6 linked regions of the Cricetulus griseus genome follow. The protein of the gene in region 5 purifies or fractionates together with the protein of the main gene of each other region. This does not show direct contact. Links are inferred from orthologs where the notes say so. Each region holds a gene or a part of one and is shown on either strand. Other genes may lie near its edges. The genes, in order: Med9, Rprd1b, Med26, Rpap2, Polr2c and Ctdp1.

What was found.
Region 1: the proteins of Polr2c (region 5) and Med9 purify together in Homo sapiens (affinity purification with mass spectrometry; 3 studies listed by BioGRID and IntAct, with this or other methods). This does not show direct contact. The link is inferred for Cricetulus griseus from reciprocal best matches to the Homo sapiens genes POLR2C and MED9.
Region 2: the proteins of Polr2c (region 5) and Rprd1b purify together in Homo sapiens (affinity purification with mass spectrometry; 3 studies listed by BioGRID and IntAct, counting the BioPlex papers as one, with this or other methods). This does not show direct contact. The link is inferred for Cricetulus griseus from reciprocal best matches to the Homo sapiens genes POLR2C and RPRD1B.
Region 3: the proteins of Polr2c (region 5) and Med26 purify together in Homo sapiens (affinity purification with mass spectrometry; 3 studies listed by BioGRID and IntAct, with this or other methods). This does not show direct contact. The link is inferred for Cricetulus griseus from reciprocal best matches to the Homo sapiens genes POLR2C and MED26.
Region 4: the proteins of Polr2c (region 5) and Rpap2 purify together in Homo sapiens (affinity purification with mass spectrometry; 3 studies listed by BioGRID and IntAct, with this or other methods). This does not show direct contact. The link is inferred for Cricetulus griseus from reciprocal best matches to the Homo sapiens genes POLR2C and RPAP2.
Region 6: the proteins of Polr2c (region 5) and Ctdp1 purify together in Homo sapiens (affinity purification with mass spectrometry; 3 studies listed by BioGRID and IntAct, with this or other methods). This does not show direct contact. The link is inferred for Cricetulus griseus from reciprocal best matches to the Homo sapiens genes POLR2C and CTDP1.

Annotation. Positions count from the first base shown.
Region 1 is NC_048600.1:74,078,052-74,081,926, forward strand, and holds the end of Med9 (mediator of RNA polymerase II transcription subunit 9), read left to right. Parts: intron 1-993; coding exon 994-1,210; 3' UTR 1,211-2,548; downstream 2,549-3,875.
Region 2 is NC_048599.1:21,516,150-21,521,022, reverse strand, and holds part of Rprd1b (regulation of nuclear pre-mRNA domain-containing protein 1B), read left to right. Parts: exon of another isoform or gene 1-2,316; coding exon 2,317-2,492; exon of another isoform or gene 2,493-3,580; intron 3,581-4,871; exon of another isoform or gene 4,872-4,873. UniProt on the Homo sapiens protein: Interacts with phosphorylated C-terminal heptapeptide repeat domain (CTD) of the largest RNA polymerase II subunit POLR2A, and participates in dephosphorylation of the CTD by RPAP2. Transcriptional regulator which enhances expression of CCND1.
Region 3 is NW_023276806.1:247,287,701-247,293,331, reverse strand, and holds the start of Med26 (mediator of RNA polymerase II transcription subunit 26), read left to right. Parts: upstream 1-1,919; 5' UTR 1,920-1,964; coding exon 1,965-2,036; intron 2,037-5,631. UniProt on the Homo sapiens protein: Component of the Mediator complex, a coactivator involved in the regulated transcription of nearly all RNA polymerase II-dependent genes.
Region 4 is NC_048600.1:2,362,426-2,367,298, forward strand, and holds part of Rpap2 (putative RNA polymerase II subunit B1 CTD phosphatase RPAP2), read left to right. Parts: intron 1-2,103; coding exon 2,104-2,218; intron 2,219-3,227; coding exon 3,228-3,326; intron 3,327-3,528; coding exon 3,529-3,594; intron 3,595-4,873.
Region 5 is NC_048596.1:171,083,171-171,087,067, reverse strand, and holds part of Polr2c (DNA-directed RNA polymerase II subunit RPB3), read right to left. Parts: intron 3,421-3,897; coding exon 3,352-3,420; intron 3,218-3,351; coding exon 3,165-3,217; intron 1,493-3,164; coding exon 1,364-1,492; intron 1,041-1,363; coding exon 989-1,040; intron 773-988; coding exon 604-772; intron 486-603; coding exon 411-485; intron 302-410; coding exon of another isoform or gene 271-301; exon of another isoform or gene 123-270; intron 1-122. UniProt on the Homo sapiens protein: Core component of RNA polymerase II (Pol II), a DNA-dependent RNA polymerase which synthesizes mRNA precursors and many functional non-coding RNAs using the four ribonucleoside triphosphates as substrates.
Region 6 is NC_048595.1:234,864,138-234,869,686, forward strand, and holds the start of Ctdp1 (RNA polymerase II subunit A C-terminal domain phosphatase), read left to right. Parts: upstream 1-1,878; 5' UTR 1,879-2,110; intron 2,111-2,116; exon of another isoform or gene 2,117-2,569; intron 2,570-5,549. UniProt on the Homo sapiens protein: Processively dephosphorylates 'Ser-2' and 'Ser-5' of the heptad repeats YSPTSPS in the C-terminal domain of the largest RNA polymerase II subunit. This promotes the activity of RNA polymerase II.

The sequences.
Region 1 (3,875 bases), on a different chromosome or scaffold from region 5:
AGGACATGAATGATCTGCCTTCAAAATGGACTTGACCCAGAAGAAGGCATTTGCAGAATCATGGTAGAAGAGAGCATATGTCTGTTGAAGAATTTCAGTGACTTGTAGCTGAGTTAAATTCATGACTAGCTCTATGGGAATTCATTTTTATGTTAACTAAAGTCTAACCCAGTACCATACCTCAGTGAAATGAAGGTCCTGCTAGCTCAGAGTCTCCTGGTTGGCCTAGAAATGGCTTAGATCAGGTGGAGTGGAGTATGCCATCAAGTTTGTTTTTTGTTTTGGGTAGTGATCTGCTGGTGATTGGTAATGGTGTATTCATTTAGCATGGCTGTGGCCATGCTTTCCAGGCATTCACTCTTTTGACAGGTGGTGTTTTGAAAACTTAATTTGTATATTGTATGTGCATGTGTGTGGTAGGGAGGCTACAAGAGGGTACTTGGGGTGCCTTGCTGTATCACTCTTCACTGTATTCCCTTGCATAGAACTGAGGCTTGCTATTTTGGCTCATTGGCTTCTGGGATCTGCCTCTTTATGCACCCCACCCCTACCTGAGCTGGGCTTATAGACACTTGTGCCCCTGCTTTTACATGGGCGGTAAGGCTCCAAACTCAAGTTGTCATACTTGTACAAGCGTTCTTATCCACAATTAGTTCTTGAGCATAGTGTTCTATGTATAGGGCCAGACCAGCGAGACACCTGTGATGAAGCAAGCTCAGTCCTTGCCCTCAGGGGAGCAAGAGTATAAGTATCTGATTTGTCAAGTGTGCTAGTCAAGGGAATGTTTTTATGGTCTAACTTAAAGCTAAGGAAAAAAACCAAAATAAACAAAAAGACCAAACCCTGTCTTTTGGGATAGGCAACCTAGTCAGGGGACAGACATGTCAAACAACATTCTGAAAGGTATCAGAGAGTATCAAAGGAAGCCATTGTAGAGATGAGCTGCACCTGCTAACTGACTGCCTTCTACCCCCCACCCCTTGCTGCCCATAGCATGGACAAGGACAGCCCAGATCTCCACCAGGACCTGAATGCTCTCAAAACAAAGTTCCAGGAGATGCGGAAGCTCATAGGCACCATGCCTGGCATCCACATGAGTCCTGAGCAGCAACAGCAGCAGCTTCACAGCCTCCGGGAGCAAGTCAGGACCAAGAATGAGCTTCTGCAGAAGTACAAGAGCCTCTGCATGTTTGAGATCCCCAAGGAGTAGGACCAACTCCCAGGACAGCTGCCAAAGAACTGAGAACTTCACACCTGTGCTGTCCATCTCCTTGGGAGCCCAGCTCTAAACTGGGAGGCCACATATGGCTGTTGTGGGGCCTCAGTGGCTGTACTCAGCCTTGATTAGCTACGCTCTGGTCCCATCAACAGATCTGGAGGGCACAGAAGGAGAGGAGGTGGCTGTTCCCTTCTTTCCTTTGGCTCCTCCCACTCCCCATATCATCAGTGCATATCTGGTACATACTGTTCCTGTTAACAGCAGTTTCATGAAGCATTTGCATAGAATTCATGGGATAAATTAGACCTGCACTCAGATGGCATGGATTTAATATAATTTTTAAAGAAGGCTGGGAGAGTGTGAACATTGTTTTGAAAGGCCAGAGGGTGGGTGGCTTCTCCCCCAAAACTGTTCACTTCCTTTTTTGTTTGAGCTACTGAATGAAACTGTATCTCGGGGGCGTCATCCCAGAGCCCTGCCAGCCAGCCACCAACTCCAGTTTCCAGCCTCCTGCACACTAGCCTTATAGGCTCTTGCTCCCTTTATCTCCATCACTCCAGGCAGTGCTCAGAATAGCCAAAGCACTGCTTGCCTGGGGCCTTTTGTCCTTCCCACGCTGGCTCAAAAAGGCTGTTGAGCAAGCAGCTCTGCCCTGATTCATAGGCCCTGGCTTACCTCGTCATCTCCTCTCTAACCAGGGAGTCAGCCATATTTGCTACCCTGCACATGGTCCCTGCACACTTCTGGTTTAGAGCAGAGTGGCTGGAAGGGGTAATCAGGGTGGTTCCTCAGCCAGGTGTGTGTGTCGTGAGAGTCAGGTCTGTAGGGCAGGGGTAGCTAAGCCTGGAGGTTCTATAGCTGTGTGCTAGTTGTAGAGTGTGCTCTGCTAGTCCCACGTGGGACTGTCACACTGAGGGCAGGGTGGCCCTTCGTCCTCTCAGGAGTAAGGTGGGAAGTACCCAGTATTGTTTAGATCTTGAAATGGGCACGGTCTGGGCTGACCAGTGTAAGACTTAGCAGGTGCCTGCCAGCTGGCCTTGTTGGCAGGAGTACTGGCTGGGAACGTTTTTAGCAGGGGTTCTGGTGGCATTGTCTATCCAAGATGCCTCACAGTTGGGCCTGGGATGTGTGAAAGAGGGTGTTGAGTTCCAGTGGTTTGGACAGAAAAGTGGGCTCTGAGTTTGAGATGCAGGAGCTTCAGATCCTCCTGCTAGGCAGAGACAGAAGGCTCCTTAGAGGGCCAAAGGGGATGGAATCTTCTTTGCTCCAGTGTGCTGACCTGTCACATTTGCAGATACGGAATTAAAAGTGTGCTCTACTCTCAGGATACAGGGTTTGCCTACTGTCTTTTTTTTTTCAACAGTGCTAGGAGTCAAACCCTGGGAGTGCAGGTTTTATAATAAAAAATTAGAAGGGAGTGTTGGTTAGGCAGTGTAGAGGCAAAATGTTCTCTGTGCTCCTTCCCCCACCCAGCATGTGTACCCATTAAACTGCATAAAAGCCTGCATGTCTCCTGCAGGGGACCCTGGGCAACCCAGCCATCCATTGTTGAGAAGTGAATGCCTTTCTGTGATTTGAGAGGCACAGTTCCTTGGAAGTGGCCCTTCCTAAAGCAGGATTGAAGTCCTACCCCCAGGACAATCTTGAACATCCCTTGAAGCTCAAGACCCTCTTGAAAACCACCAGATACTTGGTTCATGGGTACAGCAGTTGTGCTGATCCTGAGATACTATCATGAACACCCCTCCCCCCCCCCACACACACACAGAGTGCCTCTGTTTCTCAGCTGAAGAATTAGAGATTAGAGGCTTGGAAGGTGAGGCCTGCCCCAAGTTGACAGGAATGGTGAGATCTGGGCCACAAGCCATGATCCCTTGGCCACAGAGGGAGACAGCAAAGTGCAGAGGAGATGGGCCTCACCTGGTGAGTGCTTCTGGGGGCTATACGGGAAGCTATCAGCACTTTGCTGGATCCTGGGGCAGGGGATAAACATCTAGTACTGGCATCTTCCCAGATACAACTCTCAGGCTCCTTATTTGTGGTAATCAAGGTAAGAGTTTCAAGACTGACTGCTTTCTATAGCCTGCCACAATTGAGTAACAGATGGGGCAGTGGGGAAGGACACTATATCTTTAGAAATGAGGCCCTCTGTGACAGGCCAGGAGGATAGGTAAAGGATGGACAGAAAAAGCCAGAAAGGTCTAGAGCATGTCCCACTTGGAAGCTGGGAGGCTGTTTTCAGAAGGCAAGGTCCCCCCCACCCCCCCAGTTCTGCTTGGCTACTGCCACTAAGGCAGGAACCCAACTCCCTAAAAGCAAGAGCAAAGAAAACCTTGTTTTCATTTTTTAATTATTTTATTTTAAATAAAAAAATAATAAAGACCTCACACAATACTTTGTTCATGTCATGTTGACACTGGAACTAAATTAAAGTGCAAGTTTTATGGTTTTTTTCTTTTGAGCAATTCCACACACATACATGTAAACAAGTCTCTTGCCTATGATTGAACCCCCCCACCTCTCGCCAAAGTTTCCAGTTTGCAGAGGACTGAAGTGGCTGGCAGCTGTCATGGCAACACCAATCACAGACAAGATAATGCCTTGTTGGTCCTGGCCCTCCAGCAGGCAGGACAATTAGTTACTTGAAGTCTCACAG
Region 2 (4,873 bases), on a different chromosome or scaffold from region 5:
GTAAGGTGAATTTTAGCTAAACAAGGCATCACAGGACAAAACATCTAAAGTACCATTGAGTTTGTTTTGTGTTGACCATCTACTGCTGGGCATGGGGCCTGCCTTTAAATGTGGTTTGTATGTCCAGAGAGACTCCACTGGGAAAAAACTAATCTTTCCTTTGTGAACATTTGAGGCTTGGAGACAGTTAGGGTTGGGGGCTCTTGTCCACTTCCACTCTCAGCACTGGGGCCCTGTCTGACTCAGACCTGTATAGCTCCCATGCATGCTGACACAGTCTCTGTGAGCTCACATGTGCATCAGTCCTGTTGTGTTTGGAAGACACTGTTTCCTTGGTGTCCTCCATCCCCACTGGCTCTTACAACATCAGGGTTCCCTGAGCCCTAAGGGGACAGGTTTGATGAAGACATCTCATTTAGACCTGGTTGTTCCAAAGTCTCTTTCTCTCAGTACACTGTCCAGTTGTGTCTCTACTAGTTCTGTAGGAGGACGCTTCACTGATGGTGGTTGAGCAAGACACTAATCTGATTCCCAGCCTGTGGTTTTGTGTAACCCTTGAGTGATAAAAAGCAGTTTCTGAGTTCCAGTTACTTATATAAATGATCTAGTTTCTTTATGCAAGTTCTCCAGGGTGAGAATTTATTTTTTTATCTTAAATCTTAAAAAATAGTATTTCCTTGCCATTTTGCCACAGGTACTCTAGCAATTACTCTTATAAAGAGATCAGTAGTCTAGGGCTGGCAAAGCTGAAAGTAGCCACTCAAGCTTGCTCGCTGGCCGAGTTGCCAGTCTGTGCCGAGTTGGTCCCCTGCCCTATGTCCCAGGCCCTCTTCCCACCTTGCTTTGCTCACTCCTTCCCTGGTGTGTGTTCTCTAACCCAAGGTGGGGGGGGCATCAGAGAGCCCTCAGCAGTTCATTTCCCGGTATTCACAGAGGCAAGTAAGGACCAGGTAGCTGCTCTATGCTGGAACTTCCTAAATTCCATTGCCTGGAGGAACTGTGTGTGGAACTGCTGGCAGCTCTGGTGCCCTCTGCTTCGAAGCATCAAGCTACTATTTCCACCCAAAAGACCTTTTTGCTTTTATTTATTTTTAATAGTTTTTTATTTATGTGTATATGTGTGCCTACATGAATTTACATGCACCACATGTCTGCAGGTGCCGAAATTTCATTGGATCCTCCAGAACTGGAGTTACAGGTGATTGTGAGCTACCTAATGTGGGTGCTGGGGACCAAATCCAAGTTCTCTACAGCAGCAATAAGTGCTCTTAACCACTGAGCCACCTCTCCGGCCCCCAAAAGACCTTTTAAAGCAACATGCACATGTTTACATTTACACCATCACCACACAATTGCAGCAGTTCCTTATGGATCTAAATCATCCTTTTGTCTCTGCTCATTTGCTAGGCCAGCCTTTGTTTAGCACTTCTTTATATTCTTACACTTCAGTGCTTGCTCTTCTCTCCCCAAAGCATGGGTGACAAGACACATTATTTGGACATGAATTCAGTCTTCTCAATAATGATCAGCACTTTAAAAATGCAACACTGAATATTTTGCACATATAAGAAAAAGATATTTCCCCCTTCTTTTTTCTGTTTTGTTTTGTTGTTGTTGTTTTTAGGATCTTGCTGTATAAACAGGATGACTGGAATTTGTGGCAGTTCTCCTACAAGTATGAGCCACCACATGTGGTACTGCTTCTTTTTTTGTGTTTTTATAAACTATTTCCACTGAGGGTCATGTTCACATACATTTGAAAGACCCTTCCTCCTTTTCAGACCCTATATTTTGTAAGTGTGGGAGGCAAGCTCATTCCCAGGAGCCAGCCTTTTTCTCTGGTGAACAGAGTTCTGCAGATCACCTTCTGAGACCATATTTGAGCCTCTCATACAACTCCTGTTTTCTCTCAGTCTCTCCACGCCCAAGAGTGAGTGCTTGCTCTGTTACTTTAGAACAGTGGAAAAAGTATTCTTAGTGCAGTAATAGAAGCAAAAACACTTCATCTTCTCAGAGGCAAGGGAAATCATTTCACAGATGACCCTAAATATCTGTATGCTGGTTGTTTGGAGAGCTTTTGCTGGAAGCTCTTTTCAGCGTGCCAGCTTTCCTGCCCCATCCAGTTGTCTTACTTCAGGCAATTCAGAAATATGTCTTGTTGACAGAGTTGGCACCTTTGGATTCTTGGCTGGCCAGCATTGTTGGTTCACAGGTTCTGGTTTATTCTTGGATTCTGTGAACCTTCTTTCAGGAATGTTTGCAATCATACCTATGTGATTTGTATGTTGTCTGTTTTCTGCTCTTATTTGTACTCAGACAAAGAGGCAGCTGAACGTCTTTCAAAAACGGTAGATGAAGCATGTCTCTTACTAGCGGAATATAACGGGCGCCTGGCAGCGGAACTGGAAGACCGGCGCCAGCTGGCTCGGATGCTGGTGGAGTATACCCAAAACCAGAAAGAGGTTTTGTCAGAAAAAGAGAAAAAGCTAGAAGTGAGTACATTGCAAAACAGACCCAAATTGCCTGAATTGCCCTTCCTATAGCCCATTTTATTCCTGGATTAACCTTTATTTTTATCTTCTGAAAATGAATGAGATAGTAGTATCCATCAGATAACTGTGATTACTGTAGCCTAGTTAAGAGTTGAAGTCATGTTTTTAACATGTCCAGGAAAGAAAAACTCACATTGTGAAAACAGTGGCCTCTTAGTCACAGCATTTAGGATCTTAAAGTTGCTTCACAGTTTAGAGTTGAAAAATTATAAATTGAGATACAGAAGGGTCAGCAAAAGGTTATATTTGGGAATCTGAATTGTTTTGAGGTTTATTTCTGACATATACACATGCTTGCCAGTAAGCCTCCTGCCTACAAGCTCTTCCTGTACATATTCTACAAGTTCAGTTGTGTTTGTGTAGCCTGATTCAAACTGGGCAGGAACCCATTTTTCCTGTGTTGAGAGCATGTGTCTCGGTGTGTCCAGCAAGAAAGGGTTTAGAATCCCCTCACCATCTGCTTCTTAACTCAGCTTAGCTCCTTGTCCTTGGGAGCAGAGCCATCAGTGTGGCTGTTGGGGTTCCATCTGCCCCACATTGTTGGACTTAGCAGTTTCTTAGCAGTTTCTCCTCTGTGTTTCTTGGGAAGGACAGAGGGGTCTGAGTTAGAGAATAACTCATAATGATCACAAGAAACACCTCATGAAGCCCCCTTAGTAGATAAGGGAGTGGAAGGCCACCCTTCTCCCACCAGGGAAAATTCTCTGACACAGAGGGAGGGAACACTGAGCCAGCTCTGGTGATTGTTGCATTGGTCATTCTGTGGTCAGCTGACTAGAGAGGGAATGCCATGTCCTTCCCTGCAGTGATTATAGAAGCTGTGCTGTGATAGGTACAGGTGCTAGGAGCTTCAGAGGTCTAGCCAGCCTGAGTGTGGAAGATAGGAGACAGCTGACAGTAGTATGGCTTTCCTGTAGATTCAGCACTGACCAGAACCCTAAAGGGAACGTCATCAGCAGGAGCAGACGGCCATTTGTCTGACGGGCTCATCTTTCACTGAGGAAGCATTTCAGCATAGTACCTTGGGACTAATAAGAGATTGTAATTAATGATTCTGGTTGTAAGTCATTGTGCCATCTGTTGAACTGCCCCTTGGCGACACATTAAGGGCTTTCTCTGATCTGTCAGACATTGATTATCATGAGCAGCTGTTGTTGGGTGGAACGTGACAAGCACCATAGAGGACAGTCTTTGAGAAGGAGACAGTTGGTAGAGCCTGTTAACTCTTTGTTCTGTCTCTTCCCCAGCTGCAGTTAGCTGTCTGGTTCATAGGCACAACAGGTAGTGGATGCCCCAAGAGGTTATGCGGCATAGAGGTCAGAATTCAGTCCATTCTGTAGCTTTGCAGTCTCGTTGTTGCTATTTCACAGAATGGCATGGCATTGGAACTCAGCAGTTGAGGATGGATTAGGAGGACCCTGGTACTGCAAGGCAGCCAGAACTCAACCAGCCAACTGGGCAGGGCCATTCATTATGAAAATAAAAAGAAGTTTGCTGCATTTGAAAAAGCAAATGACTAGATAAAAATGTAAGAAGCTGACTGGTGGCATTAGATCTTTATCTGTGCTTACTAAATACATGAACAGTCTGGTCTTCTGAATCTGCCATTTCCTCTCACACCTTATAATAGACAGATCTTCATTCTGTCCTGACGGTGGTGGTAATAATACCCCGTGTGCAACTTGAGAGAAGCCTCAATGCCTCAATCCCTCCGCCTCCCTTTCGTAATGGTTGGTCCTGAACACTGCCAAATCAGAAGACTAGTTAAATCTTGTTTGGAACCTTTCATTGCCTTCAGTGTGTAAATGCCACAGTTTATGGGCTCCTGCATGTACAGGTGCTTTCTTGGGAGTCTTTCCCCACAGCTCAAATTTGTCAACACTTAAGTTTTTCTACATTTTATTTGTTAGCTTTGTATTTTCCTTTAAATAGCAAGCATCTCCTCTTCCATTAAGGACTTTATGTTGGTTTCTAGTGGCTTCTGAACCTTAAAGTGGCAGAGGTACTGGGTCAGAGTTCAGAGGGGAGGAAGACCCATTCTTATTGCATTTCAAGAATGCTGGTGTCAACAGCAAAGGTGAATGTAAAACCAAACAAGTTAAGACAGGTGACAATTCTGGTTGTGGGTTAAGCTAACCCCTGATGGGAAATAAAGCCTTTTTGAAAAGGAAATGGCAATTGAAGGAGGACATATGTTTATAAAAGGGGAGCAGCCAGAGGCCTGGACAGGTGTGTGAAGAGAATAAAGTGTATGGACAGAGGCACTGGAGACCCCATGTGGAGCTGGGGTCTTGTCTTTATGGAGTCACCAGTCTGTACCT
Region 3 (5,631 bases), on a different chromosome or scaffold from region 5:
TTCGGGTTCCAGGCCAGCCTGGTCTAGAACTGCATAGTGAAACTCTTTGTAAGGGGGAGAAAAAAAACCAAAATCAACTATTAGTAATCAAAAACAGCAGGCTGGCAGGTCTGTAATCCTACAACTAGAGAGGCACTGGCAGGAGAATATTTGAGGCCAGCTCAGGCTGTTCAAAAGCCCTGTCTCAAAACACTGGTGAGATAAAATGTATCTTCAAACCGGGCGTTGGTGATGCTTACATTTAATCCCAACACTCAGGAGGCAGAAGCAGGCGGATCTCTGAGTTCAAGGCCAGCCTGGTCTCCAGAGAGAGTGCCAGGATAGGCTCCAAAGCCACAGAGAAACCCTGTCTCGAACCCCCCCCCCCCAAAAAAAAAGCGTCTTCAAAATGGGCTGCTTGGACCATGAGCTCCATCTAAACACGTGCTAGGGAGTGTATGTAAGAAGTACGTTTTCGTTCTACTAGTGTAACGCAGGCTTCTGCCAGGTGCAGAATTAAACAAGCCATGATAAAGCTTTTGTTTGTGGAGGGGAGAGGGAAGGACAGGTTCTGACTTTCCGTCCTGGCTGGTCTGGGGCTCACTGTGTAGACCAGGCTGGGCACGAACTCCAGAGATCCTCGGGCCAACCGAGCACTGGCATTAAATGCCAGGCTCTCCCTCCCCCTCTCCCCCATCCCCCGATCCCGGCTAACCCTCAGAAGTATAACAAATTCAAAATTAACAGGGGTCGCCCAGCTCTCAGGAGCACATGTGGTTCCCATTACCTGTTTCCCTTCCGTTTCCAGTCTGGATCTTTAAGGTAACCTCGGAGCCCGCCGCCCGCCCGCCCGCCCTCCTCCCGTCATCTGCAGCGGAGCTCCGGGTCACCCAAAGACGGGGGGTCGGGAGCCCGACACTTAACATCTCGCTTCTCTTGGTGTGGCCTAAAACTCCAGGTGGTTCTGACGCTTGCTTTCCTGCTCGGTGGGGCGTTCCTGTTTTCCAGCACCTGAGATGCAAAGCCAACAGGAAGGGGCGGATGCCGGGCTGCAGCCCCGCCACCTCGGGCACGGCGGTCCCTCCGGCCGGCGACGCGAGCGGCGCTTCCTCCTGAGCGGGTCGCGCAGGCCCTGTCGGAGGCGGCGGTGCCCTTAGGTCCCCTCTGCGCGGGTCATACGGGGACACGCACTGCCCCGCAGACCCGCGCCTCCGGTTTCCACCGCGGCGGCGGCTGCGCAGAACTCTCCCGAGGTCCTCGCGGCGCGGGTCTCCTTGGCGTCGCTCCTGAGCCGGGTCCCAGCCCCCGGCTGCGGCCCTTCATCCGAGGGGAGGGTCCTCCTTCTCCGCACCCCCGAGGCAGCCCGGAGGAAGAGTCCAAGCTCCAAGACCCAGCGGGTGCGCTTCCGTTAGGAAGCTCCGCCCACCGGTTTTTCGGAGTGGGCGTGGCCTTTAGACAGCGTCCGTTGCCCCGCCCAACTGCCTCCCAACGGCTCTCTGGAACGGGCCATGGGGCGTGGCGACGCGACCTGATAAACGCGCGTGCGCGCGCATGCGCAGAGGCAACAGAAGCGGCTCACGAGCCGGCCCCTCCCAGAGCCAGAGTCTCCGCCCGCCCCCATCTCCCAACCTCCTCAGCGTGGCGCCGACGCTGCGTGCGGCGCGGGTTACCCAGAGTGCTCAGCGCGGGGGCAGCTCACTGGAGTTTGGTTCTCGAGGCGGCGGCGGCGACGGCGGCGGCGGCGGCTTCTCCGTCGGCTCCTCCTCCCCCCCTGCTCGCAGCAGCGGCGGCGGCCCGGGGCCCGAGCTCCGGTCCCCTCCGCTTCCCTCCGTCTTCCGCCATCTCCCCGAGCGCCCCGACCTCCTCCGGCGCCGCGGGGAACATGCGGCTCCGTTCCCGGAGGCTGGCGAGCGACTGACCCGCGTCCCCCCGCCCCAGCCCGCCCGCCCGCCGGCCCGGCCGCTCCCCCCCGCTTCGCCCAGGCAATGACAGCGGCTCCGGCGTCTCCGCAGCAGATGAGGGACCGGCTGCTGCAGGCCATCGACTCCCAGAGTAACGTAAGTGACTGCTTGGAGAACGGGGACCGAGGCCGCATGTGCCGGGACCCTCCCCCTCCGACGCGCCCCCGGCCTGGGGGCCTCTCCCGGCGGCGCCCTGCCCGCCACAGCCGTTGCCATCTCGGCCTCTCGTTCTCCCGGGTCCAGGGGCCGCGGGCAAGGCGGGCAGCCCGGCGACTCAGGGTACCTGAGGCCGAGGCTTCACGCGGCCTGGACTGAGGGATCGCTCGGAGCCGAAATCAGACCTGGTTCTCCTCGGTTGCCTCGGCCAGATTGTCCTTGGTGCTTTCCACCTTGCCTCCCTGTCTCTCTTCGACCCCGGGACTTGAGACCCCCCGGAAGGGTCTCCCTACGGGGGTCAAGGTGGGAAGCAACTAGTGTCCCCCGATGACTCTGGTAGCCCGCGTCTCCCTTCGGTCTTCTGGCTGAAATCGTCTTCTTGGGCTCGGAGAGAACCCTAGGCCCTCCTTGTCCCTAGTCTTGCTGCTTGGGATCCCTGGAGAGTTTCCCTTCTTTTCTGATACTGGACAGACCCCAGTTTAATCCCTCCAAGGGTCGCTACCTAGGAAAGACGACCCTGCAGAAGGTGGGATCCTTCCTGTCACCTTTCTTGGCCTAAATGTCCCATTGTGTGTCTGACAAGCCTGGGGTTTTGGTACTGAATTCCTGCTCATCACAGTCGATTGTTCTCTCGCCCCTATTCTGGTCTTCTTTCCATCTCTCTTGCCCCACCTGAGGGACTCGGCCTGGTGTTTGGTCTCTAGGCTGTCAAGAGTTAACTGTATGGGGTCACTTTATGTCACATTTCCCTCTGCTAAGCGTCCTATGAGCAGAGGGACACCCTTTCTTCCTGTGTGAGCATAGGCTAATCTCACCTGTTGTGTTTTTTCCAAAGGTTTGTTGGCAGTGTAGGGAGGGGGTGAGGGTCTTTGTTCCTGGAAGCAGCAGGGCCATGAGAAGATGCACAAGCATCCAGGTATGAAGTGTTTGCTGGGAGACCAGGAAGTGGCCTTTGAGATCACTTTTTAATATGCTCAGGATGGAAAGAAAAATCATCTTGGGCTTGGCCAGGTAACTGAGGTTTGAGCAGGGAGCTCTTTTGGTTCCCTTACTTGTGCTTGGCTTGTTACTCTTAGTAATGTGCCATATTCTGGTGTGTTCCAAGAAATTCACATTAGTTGTGCAGTCTTGGTAGAAATGGAGGTTTCCTGATCTCTGGAAGAATCTGCTTGCCAGATTCAAAGTAAATCTCTTCTTCCTGATCTTGAGGCCCTATTAAGATCACCTTGATACTGATTTAGCCAATATTTTAGACATTTTTGGTGGGTGGAGTAAGGACAGGCTAGATAAAATCTTCTAAAAAGTCTTTTTTTTTTAAATGTTTTTTAAAACAGTGACTGATATTACTGCAATTACATGATTGAGATATTAAAAGATACAAACAAGTGATGTGAAAAATGTAACCTCAGTGGCTTTTGCATGTTTTCTGAAGCTACAATGTACACAGTGGATTTTTTTTTTTTTTTTTTTTTTTTTTTTTTTTTTTGAGACACGGTTTCTCTACCTGTAGACCAGGCTGGCCTCAAACTCACAGAGATCCACCTGCCTCTGCCTCCCAAGTGCTGGGATTAAAGTTGTGCGACACCACTGCCAGCATCCACAGTGTAATTCTTAAGTCCTGTATGTTGACTCGTGAGAAATCACCAGGGATCCTGACTGCTGCCTGTGAGAGTGCTGGGATCAGCTAGTGCTTTGATAGGCAGTAATGATGCTTCGCTTCAGGTGGGGCAGCCTTGCGGGTAAGGCTCTGACTAAAGGATTCTTTTGGGGGTAAAAGAAGGAAGATAGAGGACTCAAATTTTAGTGTGTGAGTGTGTGTGTGTGTGTGTGTGTGTGTGTGTGTGTGTGTGTGTGTGTATTAAGACAGAGCCTCTGGAACATACTATGTCCTTTGCCTTCCGAGTATTGGGATTAAAGGCGTGGGCCACAGTGCCTGGTCCCCAAACCTTTGCTTTTTGAATCTTACCTTGGGCCTAAGTGTTAATATACTCCTTCACCTGTGGGTAAGTTACTTGGAGTGGAGTGTGTATCTCAAAGGGCTATAGGGATAAGTGACCTCATTGTGATGGCTAGAGTTGAGAACTTGTCTCTTAATGAGGAGGGAAGTTTTTCTCTAAATGCAGTGTATCAGTAACTATTCATGAACACTGTCATGTGCTGGCTTTGCAGGACCTCTTTGTAGAACTCAGCCTGGAGGACTGTCCTTGATTTCTTCCAGAGGCATTGAAGGGTACTTTTTCTGGATTGTTCAGGGCCCAAGTAAGAGCTGTGTGCTGGCACAGGGCTCTGCTCTGCCCAGTTATGAGCTCTACCACTTGGTAATTGACACATATTTAAGATGTTCATGGAAAAAAATACAAAATGGGGACACAGTTGAAGAGCTTACACTAAAATTAACCCTCTTGAGAGAAAGTGACAGAGATTGGTGTCATGTAATGCTTACCTTTATGAGTGCAATCATAGCTAACAAATTTAGCTGTTGCTTGGAAAGTCAGTGCCAGGCAGCTGACCTACTGTCCACAGTCTCTGAAATTGGGAGCAGCTCCTTGACCAAGGAGGTCTCTAGAGGAAGGCCAGCTCTGCTGTGTGTTCTAGCTTCTGAGCAGCAAGCACTGTCCTTTCTGCCAGGCCTGTACTTCAGGAAGTCCCCCCTCCCTTCCAAAAGGCCGCTAATGGACTTCCAGAATTGTGGAAGTTTCAGTCACCTCTGTGTGTGTTAGTTCAGGGAGTCAACAGTCTCTAATGTATACTGCACATCTGCTTGTAGTCTTGTGTTATGAATAAAGGTGAGGGGTATGATTTATTCTTTCAAAGACATCATAGTGAGTCCCTCTTTGGCCAGTGACAGGGTTCTTAGTCCCTTGGTGCCCTCCGTGTTTGAGGAGAGCCTGGGCTGTGTCTACTTGAGACAATGGCTCCTTGTGGATGTCCGTGTCTCTCCTCCTCTCCTGTAGAAGAGTCTTGCTCCCTTCCTCCATGCTGGATCAGTTTTTGAACCTGTGACTGAGAATTAGCCTTCAAGCCCCCATTTTCTGAAGAATCGCTGGGACTGTTCCATGTCTGTGGAATGGCCTAACTGGAGCCTTGGTGACTGAGAAAATCACCCGTGGCTTTAGATATGTCTGTGGGGAATGTAGGTGTGATCTTGAGGCTAACAGAGTTCACTTTTCAGGACAGTGGAAGGACGGTAGAGCCTCATGGAAAGAAAGCTAAGTGGTCCAGGATGGGGCTTTCCAAAGCAGGTCTGTGGCCCTGGGTGCAGAGCAGTAGGAGGCCTGAGAAGGCTTATGAAGGAGGACTTGATCCAACCACTGCCAGGCTCTGGAGAAAGAGATCCCAGGAGTCACTGCCTTCCTCTCATTCCTGAAGAAGCAAGCACCATGACTGTCATTTGGAGTCACTTGCGTCTGCCAGCCTGCAAATTACTTGCAGCAAGATGGGCAGTCCTGGAAGAGCTCCTTCCACATCTAGGTTCAGATCTGGAAGGGTTGCAGTGGCCTACATGAGTTGTTCTGCAAGGCCTTCTTCTGTGTTC
Region 4 (4,873 bases), on a different chromosome or scaffold from region 5:
TCTTAGTCAGGGTTACCATTGCAGTGAGGAAACACCATGACCAAAAGCAACTTGGGAGGGAAGGGTTTATCTGGCTTATACTTCCACATCACTGTTCATCATCAAAGGAAGTCAGGACAGAAACTCCAACAGGGCAGGAACCCTGAGGCAGAAGCTGGTGCAGAGGCCATGGGGAGGTGCTGCTTACTGGCTTGTCCGAAAGGCTTGCTTAACCTGCTTTCTTATAGAACCCAGGACCATAAACCCAGGGGTAACATTACAGGCAATGAGCTAAACTATTCCCCCATCAATCACTAATTAAGAAGATGCCCTACAGGTTTGCCTACAGCCCAAAACGTTATAGAGGCATTTTCTCCCATCAAAGTACTAACCAGGCCCAACTCTGCTTAGCGTCTGAGATCAGATGAGATCGGGCATGTTCAGAGTGGTATGGCCGTAGACTATAGAGGCATTTTCTTAATTGAGGTTCCCTCCTCTCAGGTGACTGTAGCTTGTATCAAATTGACATAAAACTTCCAGCACAGCCATATTAGTTTTCATCATTTGTGACAGAAGGAATAACACTGAGACAATACCCATTGGAAGCAGCTGTAGGTATCTGTCAGTCAGGAAGACAATGGCTCCAGACAGTGTGGTTGATAATTTGAGCCAGCAAGTTGATAATGACTTTTATTGATGGGTGCAAAACTGAGAAACATAATTTTTCATGAAGCTTTTCATGTTAAATATGAAGAACTGTAATCTGTGTTTATATCTTTTGTATTTCTTTGATGCAAAAGTGGTCTTTATGGAGTTAGTGATTGCAGCTCGGTGGTAGAGTGCTTCCTTAGCATGTGCAAGGTCCTGAATTCCATCCCCATTATCTCAAAATAATGGTAAAATGATCTTGATGAAATGGTAGGGAAAAAAATAGGTGTTTAGTTTCAGAATTCCCATTTTAATATATGTATTATAAATACGAATTGTTGGCAAAACTACCTGACAGCCAAGTTGGGGGGAGGGGCATGCTGCTCTAGGCAAAGTGTTTAAAGTCTCAGAAGTTAATGAAAGCAGGGAGAACACTTGGGATTGCCAACTGGTCCAGATGTCAGAGGGAGGGGTAAGCACTGGTGACAGCCAAGGTGGCATTACTAGGACACTCATGACAGCGGTGATTCTCCATTCTGGGCACGGTGTGTAAAAACATCTCACACAGTCTTGCAGCAGAGCTTGAGAAGCTCTGCTTATGGGTGGGGTTGCCTAAGGAGATAGCCTGGCTTTACATCCCATGTGTGAGGGCCCACAGGGACTGACAGGATCCCATTCCCTCAACTACATATCATACAGTTACCTAGCAAGACTCATAAAGTGAGTGCCTTTCCCCCCAGACCTAACTGCTCTGTTGAACTGAGATGTCACAACCTCAGCTCTTGACAGAAGTTTCTGTGTGTGAGGAAAACAGAAGTCAAGTCACCTTTTCTTTGTTTCTTCAGTCTTTCTTTCTTCAGAAAGGTGGGGTGAGCCAAGTATGTATGGCAAAAATATAAACTGAAAGCAAAAAAAATCCATGCTCTTTTAAAATATAGGTTCTTCCTGTGTAGTCCACACTAGCCTTGGACTCTCATTCTTTGCACCTCTGCCTTCCAAGTGCCGTGATTATGGACATGGACTACCATGCCAGCCCCCCCTTTTTTTATAGGTGTCTGGAAGTGCTTCCTTGTGCTCTGAGCCTGGAAGTAATCCTTGTGATCGGCTTCCGTATATACACTGTAATGTAATGAATTGTTGCTTGCTATTTGGAAGGTATTGGGCGAGAAATGGCAGAATTAAAAACTATAATTTTTTTTCAGCAAAATAGTAACTAAGGTTAGTGGTGGCTTTTAAAGCATGGAGTGTTGGCTGTAAGAGAAGTCTTTTTTGTTTTGTTTTGGTTTTTTTTTGAGACAGGGTTTCTCTGTGTAGCTTTGGAGCCTATCCTGGCACTTACTCTGGAGACCAGGCTGGCCTCGAACTCACAGCGATCCGCTGCCTCTGCCTCCCGAGTGCTGGGATTAAAGGCATGCGCCACCAATGCCTGGCAAGAGAAGTGTTTTAAGTGGACTAAGTTTCTTGTTAAAATTTCAGACGGGCAGAACTAGAAACTGCGGTGCAAAGGAAGGTGGAGTTTGAGAGGAAAGCCATGCACATTGTTGAGCAGCTTTTGGAAGAGAACATCACAGAGGAATTCCTAAAGGAGTGTGTATGTATTACATTGACAGATTACCAGATTTAAAATAATCTATTAAAGACTTATTTATGTGTATGAGTGTCTTTGTACATATATTCATGTATGTACCTGCACTGTGAGTGCCCACAGTCCGGAAGTGGTCGTCAGATCCCTTGGAACTGGAGTTATAGATGGTTGTGATCTGCCCAACATTGGTGGCAGGAGCTGAACTCAGGACCTTGGCAAGGGCAGCGAATACTCTAAACCACTAAGCTGTCTCTCCAGCACCATCATTTTTTCTTTAAATATATGCATAGGTATGTGTGAATGCATGCCACGTATGTTCAGTTACCTGTAGAGTCCAAAAGAGGGCACCAGTTCCTCTGGAACTGCATGGTTGGTAACCAAACTCAGGTTACCAACCTGGCAGAGCAGCAAGCGTTCCAAACTACTGAGCCATCCCTCCAGTCCCCAAGTCTAGCACGCTTCAGTCTATGCAAAGTGAAATTTCTTCCCACTATTGGAATCTTTAAATTTTATTTTAGTCCTTAGATACATGATGTATAATTTGTCTTTTAAAATTATCAACTGTTGTAGTGTTTCTTGCTTTATGATGACTTTAAAATGAGCTAATAAGTAAGTAAGTATACTTACTTATTATAGTATATATATAGTATATAGTATATATATTATAGTAAGATAGCTGTAGTTACATGTAATGTGTTGTTAAATTTATTTTTATTTTCTCATGGGGTGGGCATACATACCATGACCCACATGTGCCACAATGTGCATGTGGATTCAATTCTGTTCTGCCATTGTGGGTTCGTCCCAGAGGTGAAACTCAGGTTGTCATGTTTGGCAGCAGAAACCTTTGCCCTCGGAGCCATCTCGTCTGCCCAGAAGAATTTAAAATACCATTGCTCTAAGTGTTACTGTACATCAAACTTACTGAAGTACTTTTCCTTCTCATGCCCCTCTAATTCTGCCTTCACAGCTGTGAAGTGGGTCCCACTAACCTGTCGCAAACATTCCACTGCAGGGGATGTTCATCACTCCGGCTCACTACAGCGATGTCGTGGACGAGCGGTCCATCATCAAACTCTGTGGCTATCCTTTATGTCAGAAGAAGCTCGGAGTCGTAAGTACTCTTCTTCTAAGTGTGTTTACTAGTTTATTAGTGTTGTAGAAAGAACAGGAAGTAAAGCCCAAGATCATGAACTAATAACTTGGGTTGGCCAAAAGTATTAACTATATATATATATATGACTTAATTGTATATGACGTAAAGCTTGTGTTCCTTACTTAAATTCTCTAGTAAATGATGCTTTATTTTTCTTTAGATCCCTAAACAGAAGTATAGAATTTCTACTAAAACCAATAAAGTCTATGATATTACTGAAAGAAAGGTAAGTTCAAAAGCTGTTTTGATGTGGCAGTTAATTTTTTTAAATGATGCTAAATAGAACTTTAATTTTACTTTAAAATTTTCCTGTTAGAAAATAACTACATGAACAGATTTAAACTATTTAAAACTAAGGTACTAAGAAAAATTCTTGCTTGAACTTTAACTAAGACTTAAAGCTGGGTATGATGGAGGTGGGAAGAGTCTGGAGTCCATAGTTTTCTCAGCTATCAGAAAGTTTGGGGCTTCTCTGGGCTACCTCCCTCCAAAAAAGATTTGAACATTTAAAAACATAAAGTGCATGTTGCTGTAAGTACAGGCAAGTAGTATATCGGGAAATGAAGGATGAACCTGGATGATTCGTCACATACATGACCCCTTGATAGATGGCCACAGGAGTATGGGGGTGAGTGGAGAAAGGATGGGTTTTTCAATAGCTGGAAAACTACTGGTTTTTCAGTGCCATAGTCAGTTGTCCAGATGGGAAACGTGAGAACTGACTATATACAAAGTATACGTCTATATACAAAGTGGGTGGAGAGAACTGTGTACAGAAAACACACCTCTCAAGGCTGTCAGAATTTGAACTTGTACAGAAAATTAGAAAAGTGTGAAAAGCTGACATACTTTCCTTTTTAAATTTTAAAATTTTTGTTCATTAAAACAAATGAGAAAACAGCCGGGCGGTGGTGACGCATGCCTTTAGTCCCAGCACTCAGGAGGCAGAGGCAGGCGGATCTCTGTGAGTTTGAGATCAGCCTGGTCTACAAGAGCTGGTTCCAGGACAGCCTCCAAAGCCACAGAGAAACCCTGTCCCAAAAAACAAAACATAAAAGCAATATTAATTAATCCCAGCACTCGGGAGGCAGAGGCTGGGGCATATCTCTGAGTTCAAGCCAGCTTGGTCTACAGAGTGAGATCCAGAACAGGCAGGGCTCCACAAAGAAACTCTGTCTTGAAAAAAATGAGGGGGGAGGAGAGAACGAACAAGTGAAACGTGTGAAGTTAGATTTCCTACAAATCCATGACCAGAACACGTTGAGAAAAAGGGAAGGCAAGCTAACGCAAACATTTATACACAGGAGTAAATGGTTAGTGAACACATGAAAACATGCTCATTTTCTTTAGTAGTTGGAGAAAAGACTAGTCTAAACACAGTGAGCTGGTTGTACAACTCACAAAGGAGCTGGTGGGAGTGAGTATTGTTACAGCCATTTTTTTTTTAAAGATTTCTATTTATTTATTTATTTATTATGTATTCAGTCTTCTGCCTGCATGCCAGC
Region 5 (3,897 bases):
TGTCTTGAACCCCTCCCCGCAAAAGAGGGCATTGTTGAAAAACTCTAAAATGACTGTGTATGTGCAATTCTACACCAGAGAGAGACAGCAGGAAAAGAAAAGAAATCACACATGACACTGGCTGCAGCTCTTCAGCTCTCAGTTCTTCAGGGCAGGGCTACGCACAGTCAGTTCTGCTCTGGTGTGAGCCCCAACAGGCAGGCCAGAAACAGCATGAGGCAATAAAAAGGCCCCTTTCTTCATGGTGACCAGAGAGGGATGAAGACCAACTCAGAATGTATATATGAATTTGACAGTTCTCCTGTCACATGGGAGGCAAGGAGGGGGGTTGGATAACAGCTGTGATTGCCTAACAGCTTCCCAGACCTATATTCTTACAATTATAGTCCCAAGCAGGACCGGGTTCTTACCTCTCTGGCTTGCCGTTGGGGTCATAGGGAGCCTGTGACTCGTCCTCATCCAGTTCGGAGTACTCACTCTTTGGCCTGAGGGTAAGCATGGGTGAAGCACAAGTGGTGACTTCTGCTTTTAGCAAGGCCCTCGGAGCACCTCCCTACCCCTCATTACAGCCAGTGCTAGTGCCCCTTCCCCCACAGAGCATACCATTCCTCAGGCTTGGGATACACCGTGTGCCTAAGTGCGTTGTCTGGATCATATTCAAAAGCTACCCCTGCAGTGGGGTTCCACTTGGCATGCTCCTTGCCAAAGCCCTTCTTGGCATAGGCTCGAAGTCTCAGCTCCTGGCCCTTCCTCAGCTTGACAATAAGGATGTCTGCAGGGAAAGGTGAGAATGAGCCAGGAAACAAAAAGCAGCCAGTCCTCCAACTTCTGACCTGCAGTCCTAGATGAAGATAGCCCACATCTGGGTAAACAGTCTAAAGATGAGCGACAGAGACCAGGCAGCTCAAGAGGGTGCATCTGGCCTCTGCACTCTCTGGCCACAAGCATGTTCACCCAACCTCCTTACTACCCTGCCCCATCCTCTTACCATCCTGCTCCACGTAGTCATTGGGGTCATTATCCCGGTTCCGGGATGTCACCTGTAGGAAGTCCAAACAAACCTCTCAGTCCCCTCTGGCAACTGTCTCCCAGTAAATTCTGGCTGTAGTCTGTCAAGCCAGGGAAAGGAAGCCTGAGACGGAGGTGGCAGAGTTGTCCAAACAGCCTGATGGCCTTTAAGAGGGTCTAGAACAACATAGGGCACCTAGCACCAATATGGCTCTGTTCAAGCACTCAGGAACCAGCATTTCCAGGTGGCAGTTAAAGTAGATGGTCACTGGACAGGTGACTTTATGACATCTCATAAAGATCCACTCCAATCTGTCCCACTTGAAGCCAGAAAGGGAGAAGCAAAGGCACTTACCGGAATAACCCGGGGGCTGTTGGAGATGAGATCTCGAGAGGTAACATGACGAGTCTGATCTTCATTGCACCTCACGTCAAGGGTGAATTCCACAGAACATTCAGGGCAGAACTCTTCGCACGTGCAGTCCTGAAGGATGGGCAGTAGGAATAAACAGACCAGACTCCCTGCTTCTACTGACCAGCTCCTTTCAGTTTCTTCTTGGCAATAAGGGGCCGACCACAGTCTCAGGCCTCTTCTGGGCTGTGACATCTGGTACACCATCCTCATGGTTGCTCAAGCTTATGGACATGCCATCTACTCACTGACAACTACACTTCCTTGCCATGGCCATGGCTATAGGCTACCACTAGGGGGCACACTGCCACAGATGACCAAGGTGGTTATGGGACTATAGTTTCTACCTGCAGTGATACTCAGACCAACTTGGGAATTACAACGAGCAAGAACCTTTCAAATTCTAGATTACCCGGAGTGGGGAGTCCTCATGTGGCCCAGGCTGGCCTGGAATACACTACATAGCTGAAGATGAACCTTAAACTACAGATCCCCCCATTACTACTTCCCAAGTGCTAGGGTTATACAGGCATTCAGCTAATCTTTACTTCAAAACCTCTTACAGAAAATTTCACCCATATACAAAAACATAGAGGACTGATTGCCACTTATCACATACCCACCTTCCAGCCTCTTAATTATCAACATCTGCCATTCTTTGGGGTGTTTTGTACATTCCTAGACAGGGTATATCTCACTAGGTAGTCTCCTAAATAGTGGGATACAGGCATATAGGATTACAGCACATTGACATGTGCTCAAGTATTTACAGGAGAAAGCTCAGGATGCTTCTAACTTATTTTCTAAAAGGTTAGGGGAAGATAACACTATATAAGAAATGAGGCAAATGTAATAAAACATTAGCATTTGGTAACTACAGAGGGGAAAAAAGGGGGCATTTTATTAACGTTTCTCAGCCAGACATGGTAGTACATGTCTTTAATCCCAGCACTCAGGAGGCAAAGCAGGCAGATCTCTGGGAGTTCAAGGCCAGCCAGGGCTACATAGTGAGACCCTGTCTTAAAAAAAATAATAAATAAATAAACAGGGTTGGAGAGATGGCTCAGAGGTTAAAGAGCACTGACTGCTTTTCCAGAGGTCCTGAGTTCAATTCCCAGCAACCACATGGTGACTCACAACCATCTGCAATGAGATCTGGTGCCCTCTTCTGGCCTGCAGGGATACATGCAGGTGGAACACTGTAATAAATAAATCTTTAAAAAAGATATAGAAAAACAAAACAAAATAACAACAACAAAAACCCACCCTCCAAAAACAAATGTGTTTGGGGAGGCAGGTCTGGAGCACTTGCTGCTCTTGCAGAGGACCTGAGCTCAGTTCCCTGAATCTACATCTAGCAACTCACAATTGCCTGTAACTCTAGCTCCAGGGGCTCCTCCAGGGGCTCTGCTGGCCTCTTTTGACCTTTTCCAGTACCCTAACCCATCTGCACACACAATACAGAAGCAGACATATACACACATAAAAGTGAAAAAGCTATCTTTAAAACGAGAATTATTGGCATTCCAGGGTGTGTCCCCTTCTGTGAGGCACACTGATAAGATGCCTGGATGTGCTGAAAACACATCAGAACCAAAGATCACAGTATTAAGATATCACTTCCACAATGGCTTTCTAAACTATGCTATAGTCAGAACGTAGGAAGAAAGATTTCTGGGAGAACTAGTCAGTCCCTCCTGAACCCCCCTTCCTGTGCCTCCAATCTACCCATCAACACACATACCCGGGAGTACTGCAGCTTGTCCACAATGTCATCACTAGTGAGGGGGATCAATCCTGCAAGACACAGAAAAGTTGTTTTGTAGTACAGCTAAGCCATCACAAGAACCTACAAGTAAGTCCCTCAGGCTGGGAAAGGAGGTACCCCCCCTTTAATCCCTTCCACTTCTCAATGCCCTGCCCAAACTTACCAAGCCTGTGAGCAATGAATTCATCATGAAGGACTGAGGAATTGGCATCAATCTGAACCCAGTCAATGGCTGGAAAAGGCAATCAAACAGCACAAGTGAGACCAACCACCATCTGAGAATCTGACATCCTCCAGCATCTCCAGACATACAGCCCTGTTCTCAAGACTTAAGTATTACTTAGTGATCAGCACTTGGAAGGCAGAGTCAGGCAGAACTCTGTGAATTCTAGGACAACCAGGGCTACAAGAGAAACCTTGTCCTGAAAAAAAAAAAACCAACTAACCAACCAACCAACCAGCCAACCAACCAAACACCCCACCCCACCCCCCCAAAAAAAACCAACCCAACCAACCAACCAAATTTATAAAAGAAAGAAAAGAATCACTGTTTTTAGGGTTGATGGTATCCAGGCCAGGCTGCCACAGACTGCCTCCACAGGGCTAGCTCGAGGTTCAGGCAGCCAATTTAAACAAACCACACACACATACACACCATACCTAACACCGTGCTGCCTCCAGTGAATTGGGTATAGGGCTTACTGGTACC
Region 6 (5,549 bases), on a different chromosome or scaffold from region 5:
CTTTCCTGGCTATGGCCTCACCTTCTGCAAACTAGTTACCATTCTTTCTAGTGATTAATAATTCTCACAATCTGTCTGATACTCACGTTTGTCTCAGCTTGTACAAACAAAATAACTCCCTGGTGAATTTGGGCTGTAGGTCAGAGGTCACACTCCCACCCCAGTCTCATAATCTGGTTACACTATTACAATTTATTTTCTTATTTACTGGTGGACTAGTAATAAGAAACGTTCATTTCCGAACACAGTAATCCTTACTTGGTGTCTCAGGGAAGCTACCAGTATGAGGAAACATTGTGCCCAAAAGCAACTTGGGAGGGAAAGGGTCTATTTCCACTGACACTTCCACATCACTGTCTGTCTTAGTTAGGCTTGCTGTTGCTATGATGAAACAGCATGACCAAAAGCAAGATGGGGAGGAAACAGGTTTATTTGGCTTGTATTTACATTTCATAGTTCATCATTCAAGGGAGTGAGGCAGGAACTCAAACAGGGCAGGAACTTGGAGACAGGAACTGATGCAGAGGGCATGGAGGGATGCTGCTCACTGGTTTGCTCTTTCGCCCTGTTTTCTTATAGAACCCAGGACCATATGGACTGAGCTCACCCATATTAGTCACTAATTAAGAAAATGCCCTACAGACTTGCCTACTCCCCAATCTTATGGAGTCATTTTCTCAATTGAGGGTCCCTTCTCTGATGACTCTAGTGTCAAGCTGACATAAAACTAGCCAGTACACTGTCTGTAGGAACTCAATCAGGGCAGAAACTGAAGCAGAGGCCATGGAGGGGTGCTGCTTACTGACTTGCTCCCTATGGCTTGCTCGGCAAGTTTTCTTAGACATTCCAGGACCACCAGTCCAGGTATGACACTACCCACAATAGGCTGGGTCCTTCCACATCAATCATTAATTAGGGAAATGCAGCACAGACTTGCCTATAAGCAAATGTTATAGAGGCCATTTTCTCAATCGAAGAACCCCTCTTCCCAAATAACTCTAATTTATACCTGCAATGTATAACGTAGAGGACCTATCAATGAACTGTGGCATCCCTTGGAAACCTATAGCAGTTTTAAGCAAGAGTATGTATTCACTTGGGTTTGTTTGTATGTTTTGTTTTTTTCGAGACAGGGTTTCTCTGTGTAGCTTTGGAGCCCATCCTGGCACTCGCTCTGGAGACCAGGCTGGCCTCGAACTCACAGAGATCCGCCTGCCTCTGCCTCCCGAGTGCTGGGATTAAAGGCGTGCGGCTTCACTTGGTTTGTAAGCCAGAAAAACAAACTCCCCGCACACTATTCGCTGCACTTTAGGCAATTCGTTGGAGCACAGCCAATAGGAACAAAGACCCGATGGCTTTGCAGAGGATGCGGGAACAAGTGTAGGCATCTTTGGGACAAGCGTGCTGGCGCAGCCTGGGACACCACTCAAGCTTTATGAGAGTGCTATTTGATAGGATTCGGAAACTGCGCAATCTCCAGCCAGAGATACTCCTGGCTTCCACTTGTAGGCTTGGTGAACGCTCCAAACAGGACCCGATAGGTATCAGCATACCACAGTCCGGGAGGGGCGGGCGGGCGAGGTGGACACCCTAAACCAACCGTAGCCCCACACTAGAACTCTACTCTGAAAACAGCGCCAGCTCCGCCGAGCACCGGACTAGGGCAGAGCCGATTGCGACCAGCAGACACTCAGTCTCGCTGCTCCAGGATTCGCAGTGCACCACGGGAGTGGTGGGACCGGGGTTCGCGTTGCATGCTGGGAGTGGTAGTTCCTCTCCACGTCAGGACTACAGCGCTGAACGCTTTTAGCAGGCGAAGTCTCCGGTGGTCGGAACTCGCAGTGTACGACGGAAGTGGGCGCAAGACTCGCGCTGCATGCCGGAACCGGTAGTCTCGATGCGTCAGGATTTGCAGCGTGTGACCCAAGTCTTGTGACAGCGACCCGCGTGGCACGTCTGTAGTCTCAACACCGCGGACCGGCGCCCGGCGGGTGTAGACCAGCGCCTCCCGGCTTCGCGTGGGCCGACTGTTTACCCGCGGCGGGAGAGCACGCAGTCACGCGTCCGCACGCCGCCGGCCCCGCCCCGTGACGTAGCACGCCTCCCGGAAGTGAGTGCGCAGCGAGCGGCGGGTGAAGCCGGTGTCGGAGCGGGAACCGCAGTGTCGCCGCCCCCCGCGGTGGGCGCCGCGCCCTGAGCGCCTGTGCTTCCTTCCTTACCTCCGTTGTTCCGACCGCCCTCGCCGCTCGCTGGGTCGCGATGGAAGCGCTGCCGCGGCCGGCGTTCCGCCGAGGGCGCCGGCGGCGGCCGGGGCAGAGGTGCGCTGCCCGGGCCCCACGCCGCTGCGCCTGCTCGAGTGGAAGGTGGCGGCGGGCGCGGCGGTGCGCATTGGCTCGGTGCTGGCCGTGTACGAGGCCGCTGCCTCCGCGGAGCCCGCCGCCCCGGCCCCGGCTCGCACCGCCTCTGGGAGCTGTGTGCGCGCCGCGCGCACCGAGCGCAGGCTCAGGTCGGAGCGCGCCGGCGTGGTCCGTGAACTGTGTGCGCAGCCAGGCCAGGTGGTGGCCCCCGGGTGAGTGTGCGGGGACCCGGGTCTCTGGGGTCTCTGGCTGCTGCTGTGGCTGGCCGTGCGGGGCCCCGAGGGTGCTGCGGTGTGACACTGTGTATAGTAAGATCTTCTCAGACCCGACGTACTTTGAGTTTGAAAAGTTCTCGGTGACCCAAGGTTACCCTTTTGGGAAATGTTTTGCATTCGTCCCTCTTCTGTAATTGGTGGACTCCACCTTGGTAAGTGAAGGCAACTTGGGTGGCTGTGCCCACAGGACTACTCAGGCAAGTTCCAGGCTCGTTACTGAAATAGAAGCTGTGGGGCGTGTGTGTCTTTAAACGCTTATAAAACTTTGGGAAACGCGGTTGTAAAACCCCGGTGATGATTCTGCATCATAGCCACGGAAAGAGAAGGACCCAGGCAGCATCTCGGGTGATGGGTACTTGGTTCTCAAGAAATTGGAGGACTCTCTTTGTTGTTCTAGCTCTACGGGATCTTGAATTGGTTTGATCTGCCACTAGTCTGGCTTTATGCTTGATTTTGCCAGTGTTGTGTGTTAAACCTGAGTTAACACGTGGGCATGTGTGTCCCATGGCTGTGATTGTTTTGGTTGTAACTAGCAGAAACTACTGGGGGAGGTGAGCCCTCCTGCCTACAGTGTGTTGGGCTGGGAACTTCCCTCTGAAAACATTCTTTCTGTTCCTCTTCTGGTATCCTATGCTTCTTTGGTACCTATCCTGCTTTTGAGTATTTGCTGCCCATCATTCTCCATAAGGAAAATTTCCATTTTCCACTGGTCTTCTCACAGACTGAGATCCCTGCCTAGCTGTCTTCCTGGTCACTCCTCCTGGTGCATCTTTGTAGATGCTGTCTGGCTTCTTGGCCTGTGGACCTTGCCCCTTACTCCTGCCCACTATGCTGGAGGGTGGTGTTGCACAGCTACCAGAAAGACTTATTTGGGGCTGACCCCCCTTGAGAGAGCTGCCTGCTTGGCTTCTTCTGGGAGGACAAGGCTGTGGGCTTGGTAGGCACTGTTCCTACATCAGAGAAGCTCCTATCTCAGCTTCACCTGGGCCCTCACTAGCAGCAGTGGTACCCTGCTTTTGAGTAGAAAATGCCCACAATGAATGTCTCATTTCATACTGGTCCCCGTGGCAGCAACACTAAGGCCCAAACAGGTTCTACCATTGTCCCACCACTCTTATAAATCAAACCTACCTGGTTCATTACCCAAGGAGTCAGCAGAGTGGCTACCAACTGGTAGCCTCTTGACTGTGAAAGTAGTGTCCCTTCTCAGATGGAGCATTTAGGTGTCCCTGGAATGATTATTGGAATCCTGGACCACTCACGGTACATGTACCACCAGTTCAGTGATGTCAGTTGAATTCCTACTTTTGGGAAAACCATTAGCAACATTACTTTGATAATTTTTAAAATGTTTCCTTCCCATTTCCTATTGTGTGCATTTATGGACAGTGTTTTGCTAGCATTCTGGGGACTATTGCGGTGAGGTGGCATGCATATTTCCCATAGTTCTCCTGTGTGCCTGCATGTACACGGTGACCAGTGTGAAAGATCCAGGAAGGAGCAGTTAACAAAGCCTTAGTTTAAAGCTCTGTTTCATGCCCTGTATTGATCCTAATAGTTTCTTTGGAATAAATTTCATGGCTGTGGGTTGCCTTTCCCAGTTGAATTCATGGGTGTTTGCGCCATTAACTTACTGACAAGCAGTAAGTTTTTGGAACTACTGGCTCTTGGGAACACCACTTAGGCCTCCCCAAAATGTCATACTTTTGTAGAACAGAGTTTAAAAAAAAAAATCACTGAGTTAAGTCACACCACTTAGTAGAGAATTGTCTTCATACAGCATCCACTGAGAATCTGTACAGAGGATGCTACCAGTAGCAGTCAACAGAGCTCTTCATTTACAGTCTGTACAGGCTTTTGTAGCACACAGATTTCAGCTAAGTGGGTCTTGGCTCCACAATTTAGTTGTACAGGTTGGGTATCCTTAATTCTAAAATCCAAAGTCTAAAATATTTCAGTATCCAAAGCTACGGCATGCTTGCTTTTGAGTTTTCCAACGTTCAACATGTGAGGCCTATATAAACATACCAAACTCCAAATGGCCCCCCACAACTGCAGCACTTCTGGTCTCTAGCATTTTTGAATGAGGGACTTGCATATTAGGAAGTCTTTCTAAAGGATGTGTGCATTTCCCTGTTTGAGAAGACTGTGAGTAGTAGATACCATTTGATCCTGGTATTGAGTGATACTTGCCATGATTGTTAGGCCTTAGTCAGCAAAGAGCTGCTTGGCTCACACCAGGTACCCTGAGCCAAAGTCGTCTGTTTTTAGAAGGATTTCTGTCTCTGGCTGCAGCCTCATCCAGTAGCAGTTCCATCACAACAGTGGCTTCACCCAACGTGGGGACCCAGGAAGAGAGGATATCAGGAAGAAGTCGCCATGCCTTATAGGCCTAGATGCTTACTTCTCTCTGAGCACATATCAGAATCACACAAGTACTTTATAAACAATTTATCAGAGCAGTACTGGAAGTTTGTTCATGGTCTCAAGTTCTGGTCTTCCAGCAATACTGCCCCCCTTTGTTCTTAGTTCTGGGATTACAGATGTGCACCACTGAGTTTGACTACAAAATCACATGGGAGAGTCAGCATTTACTGACATTTGCATTAAACCTTTGTAGAGTGATTTTTGGATGGTGGACCTTAGAGGCCCCCCTCCCACACACACACACACACATACACACATACACACTTAAGTCACATCTGCTTATATAGACTTAGGATTGGTGAATTTAGAACTGTTTTCAGGAAACTCTTGTCCACCTTCAGCTTGCGTGTTGGCAGAGGAGGCACCTGTGGGGAGCTTTCTTTTTCTGAATCTCCCCTCACCAGTGGAACGTATGGCTCTTGTGATGAGTGGCAAGCTCAGTCAGTACATTGCTGAGGAGCTTGGTGGTAGAGTGTCAGTCTTGTACAAC